2 linked regions of the Caenorhabditis elegans genome follow. The protein of the gene in region 1 interacts with the protein of each later gene in a pairwise test. Each region holds a gene or a part of one and is shown on either strand. Other genes may lie near its edges.

The links. Proteins that work in one complex are often made in the same cells at the same time.
Region 2: the proteins of cbp-1 (region 1) and unc-3 interact in a two-hybrid assay, tested with the Caenorhabditis elegans proteins (one study listed by BioGRID).

Annotation. Positions count from the first base shown.
Region 1 is NC_003281.10:9,764,615-9,769,516, forward strand, and holds the start of cbp-1 (Protein cbp-1), read left to right. Parts: upstream 1-1,895; 5' UTR 1,896-2,083; coding exon 2,084-2,123; intron 2,124-2,176; coding exon 2,177-2,253; intron 2,254-2,305; coding exon 2,306-3,094; intron 3,095-3,388; coding exon 3,389-3,754; intron 3,755-3,806; coding exon 3,807-3,933; intron 3,934-4,065; coding exon 4,066-4,215; intron 4,216-4,266; coding exon 4,267-4,779; intron 4,780-4,829; coding exon 4,830-4,902. UniProt on the Caenorhabditis elegans protein: Acetyltransferase enzyme. Acetylates histones, giving a specific tag for transcriptional activation. May prevent DNA damage-induced apoptosis by inhibiting cep-1-dependent transcription activation of the programmed cell death activator egl-1.
Region 2 is NC_003284.9:14,771,934-14,776,594, forward strand, and holds the start of unc-3 (Transcription factor unc-3), read left to right. Parts: upstream 1-1,604; 5' UTR 1,605-1,657; coding exon 1,658-1,743; intron 1,744-4,661. UniProt on the Caenorhabditis elegans protein: Transcription factor. Involved in motor neuron fate determination and maintenance, acting as an activator of gene expression in a subset of motor neurons. May act in concert with GFI1 homolog pag-3 in motor neuron fate determination.

The DNA.
Region 1 (4,902 bases):
TTTTTCTATTCTAGAAATATTCGTATTCATTCACATATAATATACTCAACACGTCTAGCTATTCCCACACTTTATGTTTAAGAACAGTTCAATCATGCGCATTATCGTAAGAATCATGAATTACTGTATATTCGGATCCTTAATTGCACCTTCGATACCGAAAGATAAGGAAACGAGAGCGTAGAGAAACGGACGGAACGCCCAGCGCTGAGCAGTAGAGGGGCGCATAGAGTGTGAAACGGAGGCCCCGCCCCATCTCGGCCACACTATTACAATCTTGAGGACAGCAGCACGGCGTCGTCGTCCGGAATCTCAGTCTTCATCGTCGTCAACTTCAGAAGTCTATTGGGATGACTGAGAACTACTGCCAGTCTACCACCCTCCGCCACCCTGTCGCTCCGCCTCTCTTGGTGATATCGACAGTCGGACGAGGAGGGCTATTGCCCCGCCTCTCGCACTTTTTGAACTGCCGCTCTTCCGTCCTCCTCAGTTTTTTTGCTTCTCCGGTGGTATTTGATAATTTCCTTTTAGAACATTACACTTTCGATTATTCTCTATCTATTCAAGCCACTGCCGGCTCATGAGAGTTCAATGCGAGCTCACAAACTGAACCATTAAGTGCTCAATCGTGGTTATCGATTTTTCAGAGCTTCAAGTCTGGCTCTTACTCTGGCATTACACGAAGTGATAATATACAGTATTCAACTACTAAATACTATTGCTCTACGATTTTCTATGTATTTTGCTCCTAGTAGCTCAAATTCATTATTAAATTTAACTTTTATCTTTGCAACCTCATCATTCATCTATCTGTTTCGCTCTCGTTCTCTCATCTTTCAAACTTTGTTAATAATGTTATTTTCTTCAATATCACACCAAAAATTATAATCAAAACTTTCATCTCGATCCATTAGATGCTTGTAAACGGAGCCTGTCCAAATGGCATATTCCTTCGTGTGCGTGCGTGTCGCGTGCGGTTAATGTTCTACCGTATCTCGCGAAACGCGGTTTTCGTTGCGAGACACCCACAGCATGGGGCACCCGCTGTCGGCGTTCTCTCCCGATACACACTACTTCGTGGGTGGCTGACTCGTGCTGTCTGTCGTCTCTCCCACTGACCATGTTATTTTGACGAACGGTGTTCTGCGCTTCTTCACGATCATGAACTTTTGAACGTGTCACGTGGAAAATGTTTTGCAACTTTTTAAGTCAAAATACAGTTCAGAATCGGGTCAGTAGTACCATGTGAATCGACGGGATCATCTGAGAAAGAGAAGTTAGCCTCATAAGGTTGGCTTAGCAAATATCGATCGAGCTAGATATACCTGTAAGTATCTAGAGCATTCATGTTTTTAATGGTCCCAAACACCTTTAATGCTTAAAAATACCCGAATTTCACAATATAGATGCCCGCCTTCTTCATTATGCATAGTATTTTTTAAAAATATCTCTCAAGACTGCATAACAACTTTTTTTTGTTAATCCGTATATTACTATAGTGTTTCTAATTAAAATTTGTTTTCGAAGTTTTGCAAAATTGGCTATGAATCCAATTTTAAGCTCTAAATTTATGATAGCTACAGTAACCCATTCATTGGAATTTGATGTTATTAATTCAATTTTAGCATTTAAACGCTCCTTCTCTATTATTACACGCTTAAACAACTTATACAATGGTGCAGGTAAACTTTAAAAAGTGCAACCATCCTCCGTTCATTCTATTGATTTTCCATCTCCTTCTCTCTCACTGTCTGTCTCTCTTCAATTCGCCTCCTCTTTTCATAAGTGCTCTCGCTCTCTAACCACCCTCCACTCATTACTTCACCGATGTTCTTCTCACTCTTCCTCCTCCCTCCTCCGTTCACCGACAAAAATCCATATATCCATTTCATTTTTTTCAGAAACAAACAGCTATATCTGGTGATTTTGCCAAACTAACCCAAATAAGCGGGAACTCTGATGAAGTAGTGGTTGACGTGGGAATTCAAAAACCGACGGACGCAACCAATTCAGGTGTTCCGAGAAGTAGAAAGAGTTCACTTGGTTCGAATTTTGTCAAATATATACATTTTTCTACTAATTGATGGATGAACCACCATCAAAAAAATCTCGCGCTGATAGCGGTAAGTTGCTAGGAAAGTTAAGATGCTACGGTATGATCCTTTAAACTTTTCAGACTATGATTCTGGGTTAGATGCGCTAAGTGCTCTCGAAAGTCTCGAAGCATTCCCAACTTCTAGTAAAGATACAGATGTAAGTTTTTTTGTTTGAATTAACACTCTGTTTTATAAAAATTGTTGTTCAGGTAGACAATAATCCAAGCACATCAGCTGGAGGATCCGGTGGTCCTTCTGGCTCGACACCTCATCCACAAGGCACTCCACAACCAGCACCATCAAACAATGGCGGGTTCAATCTACAACCAGGACAGTCGCAACCTCAGCAGCCGCCACAGAATATGGGAGGAGGTGTCAATGGATCAGTGCTTCAAGAACTTCTAATGAATCCATCACAAACGTCGAACAATTCACCTCGGCCGCAGGCATATCCGCCTGGACAGCAAAATGCATTTAATAGGAGTCCAATGATGCCAAATGGTACACCGAATATGATGTCACCTCCATCTATGGGTCGAGTGCCGGGGCCCAGTCCTGGAGGTCCACAACCACCAGGCCCAGGCCAACCACAAATGCGACCAGGCCAACCAGGAATGTTCCAAGGAGATCAGCAACAGCAAATGATGATGGGTGCACAAGGACAACAATTCCCAGGAATGATGCATCGATATCCGTACGCACAAGGTGGTCCTCCACCAGGAGCCCAGGGAATGCCTCAAGGATATCCAGGAGTTAGTCGGGGCGGACCAACTCCTGGACAACCCATGGGACGTGGTGCTATGATGAATGGAGCAATGCCAAGAAGTGGACCAATGCCGACACAAGGAAGACCTGGAATACCTCCAAACCAACAAGCAATGATGCAGCCAATGATGACTGATCGGCAGTTTATGCAACACGGACAATATGGTCAGCAGCGACCAGAATTTATGCAACAATATGGTCGTCCCGGTGGATATCCAATGATGCATCAAGGGGTAAGTAGAAACTATTTCCTGATTTCTATTTCATTTTGGTTTGATCTTTAAAAAATGCGGGAATTTTTTTTGTTTTTAACCTAGAAAATTGGTAAGATCAGCATGATCTTAACTGTGCGATTCTGACAATTTTTGAAGATCAAACAAAAATGGAACACTTATTAGCTTGACGTGAATTTGGCCAAATCAAAATCGATGTGTAATTGAAACTTAAGTTTCCAATAATTCCCTAATCTTCCACAAATATTGGTTGGAAGTTGCTTGGAATCATAACAATAATCTTCTACATTTCAGATGATGATGGACAGTAATGGTCAACCGATTCGAGGCCCGAATCAAATGATGATGATGAGCAATGGGCATCCAGGAATGTCACACGGTCCTCCAAATGGTCAACCTGGACCACAAGCTGCTGCAGCACAACACGCTGCTCAACAGCAAGCTGCTGCACAAGCTCAAGCTCAGGCGGCTGCACAACAACAACAGCAGCAACAACGAGAGCAAGAAGCTGCGGCGGCAGCTCAACGAAATGGTGCTGGAAGGGCGACAACTCCTGGATCAAGCATGCTTGCAACGCATCAAGATCCCGAGAAGCGGAAGCTTATTCAGCAACAACTTGTTCTATTACTTCATGCACACAAATGTTCTCAACGTGAGAAGGTATGTTATACAGTATGTTCTGGTTTCCTTCATACATCATCAGCTTTTACAGGAAAATCGTGATTTCGCTGCGAAGAATCAACCACCTCCACATGCTGCCTGTACATTACCCCATTGCTCAACGATGAAAGAAGTATTGACACACATGACAAGCTGCAATGTTGGTCGTTTATGTCATTGTAAGTATATTACCCGTCGTGTCGCTTCTTTTTCTCTATCTGGAAAGAGTTTCGAACATTTTCGCAAGAAGAAGCGCCTATTCCCACCCAAAATTTCGCTTCACTCTAGCCACTGTTTGAAATCTCTTTCAGCCGATACCACACAAACTACAAAAAAATGTTCAGTCGCTCATTGTGCATCGTCTCGCCAAATAATAGCTCACTGGAAAAACTGCTCAAGGGAAGATTGTCCTGTCTGCAAACCACTCAAAAGGATACAAGATACTCCATTACAATTTTCATGTACGTTCTATCCTACTCAAGAACATTTTTTAAATATTTGATTATTTTCAGTGCCCGATCTTGCAAATCTAATAGGAGTCAACGGGAATTCGAACGGAAGCGCAGAAGGTGATGGACTTCATCAGTTTGGATCGCCAGCGATGCGAACTGGAAATATTACAAATTCTCTATTCGAAGGATTCAATGGCAATCCATTCCAAAACGGACCAAATCGTGGAGGACCGAGACCACCTGGTGGAAATGGAGAAATTCCAAACTTGCCACCACCAGATATGCCAGATTGTACGAAAGAATGGCATCATCAAGTCACAAAAGATCTCAGAAATCACCTTGTCGGAAAATTGGTTAAAGCGATTTTCCCGGAACCGAATCAGGAAGCGATGAATGATAATCGGTTAAAAGATTTGATAGCCTATGCCAGAAAAGTCGAAAAAGAGATGTTTGAATCTGCAAATGACAGAGAAGAGTATTATCATTTGTTGGCTGAGAAAATTTACAAGATACAAAAAGAGCTTCAAGAGAAAAAGAATTCAAGACTCAATCAAGGAGCTGCTGCACATGATCGTAAGTTTTTTTTTTTTAAAATTTCACCCTTTAACCAATTTTCATTTCAGAATACGCAATTCCACCGTCGAACGAGCTCGCTCAGATGCTTGGTGTGGAAGGTGGACGTAGTGATGTTCATTC
Region 2 (4,661 bases), on another chromosome or scaffold:
AGTCGTAAAATTTTGTTTCGTGAGCGTTGATATGTAAAGTGAGTTGACATTGTGAAATAAGTGCTGGATGGTACAAGACGTTCCGATGTCGAAAAATAGAAGGACGAGAAAAAAAAAACAACGCTGTCGTAAACCTGCTCTTTAAGTTTAGTCTGCCGATTGAAGCTGTGTATTAAAATATTTCTGTCAAGCATTTTTAAAAGGGAAGAATTAATTTCCCCACCATTATCAGAAAAAATTTCAAATGAATGCAACAAATCTAAAGCTATGTTATTGTATTTAATATTTGTATTACAAACTGCAAATACTGGAAAACTGTACAAACACGTGGTGTCAGAGTGTCTTATTTCGGTTTGATCTGCGTAGATCTACAAAAAATGCGGGAGAAGAGACGCAGAGTTCTCAACTGATTTCTCATGGTTAAAAATGTGCTGACGTCACATTTTTTTTTGGGAGAAAAATTCCCGCATTTTTTGTAGATCAAACCGTGATGGGACAGCCTGGCACCACGTGCATAAACAATATTCTTTATACAAACGGGGTGGTTCATAATTATGGGGTCCAGTTTACAACAGTGCAACTTTTTTTTGAAGTTGGAACAACACAACTGAATACCTACTTTAATTGCAGAAAAACCTTATGCATTCAAGTGGCTACAAGACCTCGCGTTCCGAAACTACAAATAAAATAAAACCCAATATAACACAACTTATATAATAATATTTCAGCTTCAATTCAACACCATGATAAATATTTTTGATAATTCCAGCATCCCTGAAAACGAACTTTGCGCACTCACTCACACCTGGAAACATCTTAGCAACTACGGTAGATCTGAAACATCGTTGCTTTAGTGAAAAGAAAAATACCGACTTGAGAACAATATTCTGTGTATATAAATGTTTTATCAAAGCAATTGTGATAACTTCGCCAAGTTGATAACTATGAGCAATATTACACTTCACTTGCACGACTTCAAATGCTGGCTCCTGGCTTGTTCCTAAAAGAAGATGGTCACAAATAGCCAAACACTCTACATTCTTGATTCCAGATACCGTAATCTGCAATAGGACACACGAATCTCCATCAATTTTCTTCGCTATCCTCTCATCCTCTCCCATCTCTTTATTTTTTTGTGCTTCTTCCGTTTTTTTTGTGTTGCCTTCTTCAGTGTTGTCTGTCTGACCTCTCACGTCTCAATTGTTGAAGATTGTGAAGAAGTATGCACAAAAGAGGACCAAGGCGTGGTATGCTATGCTTTCTAGGATGATTGATGAAATCCTTCACTTGACTTTTCTGTGTGTCATACAACTATTTTCTGTAATATTTTTGGTGAGCCACCACACCAGGCTTGAACGTGAAAGGGGTGCGAACAATCTTCCCCCAGCTGCCCCCCCATTTTTTTGCTGTAGAGATTTTCAAAGTTTCGCGCCGTGCCTTCCGGCTAATCAGGCATATCTCCATAACCATAATTCACAGTCAGCTGGCTCAATCCTCACACTCGCTCCGTTATTCCTCTCCTTGTTGCATCTATCAGGCGTACTTGGACGGGAGGCCGTCGGACCCAAACCGCTTGTGACATATAAGAGATTAATCTTTTGCAGAGTCGGTTGTGTAGCTGGTGTTGTTGCCTCCCACTTGATCCGAAAACTGTGGCATGAGTTTGACAGCTCCGCTAAGAGCTGGCCAGATGAACTTCTATGATGAACCTTATAATCCTGTATTAAATCTTCACATTCAACCGTAAGTTGTTTTACATGGCTTTTTAGGCTGCCTTGAAAAACTTGATGCTGGAAAATTGAGCAGAATCTTAATAAATAAATAAAGAGAATCTGGTATGGGAGCTGTACTGATCTGAGGCTCCGGAATACTGGAAGTTGTTAAAATAAAATTTATTTATTTTTGGGTTTGATACCGTTCAGACGTAACTCCTTAATTAAATTTGTCTTAGTAAAAGTCGAAGAGGTTCTACTAGAAGTTAATTCAAATTTATTACGTTTGGTACACAATTTCAAAAACAAGTCCATAATTATGGACCACCCTGTAGGATTAGGTGTTTGTGTATTATATGCCATCATATCTAGGTTATTCATTAATAACCATTACAAAGAAATTTGTTCAATTTTTGAGCTTAGGTTAATATTATTTCCAAGCATACTTCATACTAAACATATCATTCAATGGGTTAAATAATCTGGAAATTATAATATACAACTACATAGATATACAACTATTTCTTAACTAGGAATGAGCCCCCTAAATCACAAAAATACACCTTGTAAGCATCTTTTCTAAACCTGTCTATTTTCTAAAAACATTTTGATACCATATTCCTGAATACCAAAATGTGTATCTTTAAGGTGATTCATACCTCATTATTATGTTTGAAAGCCTCCTCATTCTCAATGCACTATTGGCTAAAGTTTTAGTCATTCTAACGAATCTATGACAATAGCTGTATACTAGCTATCACAAGCTAAATATCTCTTCGCTCATAATATTTTCCGTCTATCCTCAAACTCAACAGTTGTATATTCTCTTTTGACTTTGCTTCAATTAGCCGTACTCGGGCTCGTTGCCTAACAACCCACCCTCGGAATTGATAGCCACTATCATCCTTCTTTTTTGTCCATAACAGCCACTCTTATTAGTATTGCTTGGTGAGCGTTAATATTATTATCTGATGAATACTCAAACCTTGGAATCCTTGCTTTTCAGCAATTCTGGTGTCTTTGCGGACCTTCAAAGGTAAGATAGAACTTCTAGGACGACACTTTTGAAATAGAAGAGACCCAACTCCTTTTTTTTTGATGACGTTAGCGGGATTTCATTCCCAAAGGGGAAATTGTAAGGTGTTCATGGCTTGCGATACATTCTTGAGCTTTATTGGCGATGAGTTTAGTAAGTCTAGAATTATGTTTGAAACACTTAAATTAACAATTAACTTAGTAAGTATAACGTCATTTCTATAGCGTCATACGTTGTTATGATTCAGGTGCTGATGTTGAAGATGAACTTTTAGAAATAATTCAAAAAGTACATCATCTTGTTGTTCCCAAACGTTTTTGTAATCCATATTTCTTTCATTTTTCTGCTTGGATTTGAGCATTTTGTTTTTACATAAATTTCTCAATTCCTTCCGAATCTAGAATCCCGTACATGGTGAATGATGAGATTTGGGCTATTGAGATGTTACAAATTGCGTAGATGGCTACAAACTGATAACTGGAAACAAGTGGACAGAGAGAGGCCATCTCCGTTTCGCGCGTTTCGGTTATATATCTCTTATTGCTAGTCCAGAAATATTTGCATATTTCGAAAACGGGGCAGAGCACTCACAAACCCACACACAAACACACATACCAGTTATACGAGTTCGCAGCTGTCTTGTCGGATTTCAAACCATTTACATATATGACAGAGTGAAGTGAGGAGCCCACGAGCACACCACATATCACCATGTTTGGGAAAGATAGTAGAATGCTTCACTTTTTGTGTTGAGTTTTTTTTTTCTGAAATGGGTGAAGGCGTAGGAGCAAAGGAGCAAAGACAAGGAATCGTCTTCTGAACATTTATACAACAAATATTACAATTTCCAATAATCAATTATTAAACATAACATGAAGTCTGTTTCATTTCATTAAAGAGATAATTGCATTTTATGTTAGCTACTCGAAAAGTAGATTTTATTAATTGTTATGTTCGTAAAAATGTTCGTTCAAAACATTTATCAAAAACTCAGAAAATAACATTACTGTCTAGATCACGAAATCTAAAGGGAATTGAAATATAAAAATTTTTCATAATAGCAGCTATACAATAACAAAATAGCATTATCCCAAAAAATATTTTTAAGGGTTTTTTTTAGGAATTTCAGATAACCCATTTTCGTTTTAAATTAAATTAAAAAATTAAACCCATTTTCGTAATGAGATTTTTTGTACACTTTTTGAAAATGTTTCATGGCGGATCTGAACTTTGAAAACAATATTTCGTTTGCATATCGAATTATAATTTTTAGGCCTAAAAATAAAAATAGTACAGGGTTGGTCATTATCAAATTTTACACAAGTATCAAAATATGGTTAAGATGTTTTTTCTAAAATAAATTACAGTTTTATTACGGAACGAAAATACATTCAATAAGCATATATATATATATATATATATATATATATATATATATATATATATATATATTTGATTTTTGGGAACCTCTTAGCCAAGATTACGTAACAGAACAAAATATTTACTATGTTCATAAAACATGAAAAATATATAATTTTCATCTGCTTAAAAAAAAAAGTCGGTAGCGTTTTAAATGAGATCGCAATGGGAGAAGCACGAGAAATAATTATCTTTCGAGCCCAACTTCACCGAGTTGAAAAATTGAAGCACCCCCTAGTTCATCACATGTTTTTGGCTGGGTTTTCTCCCCGCCAAACCAAAACTTTGTCTATGCTTTTATCTGTGCTTCATCGTTACTCCAACATCAGTAAAGCCGGAGCCGCAGTCAAATCGGCCCGTCGCCAGATTCCTTTTTAGCTACTCTCCCCTCAATGTTTTTCCTACTGTGTGCCCACCCATTGGCCCCTAGTGCGCAGTAGGCGGAGCTTGCGAAGCTCTGCCGAGCACGCTTGTGGATCTGTGTCTAATGAGGC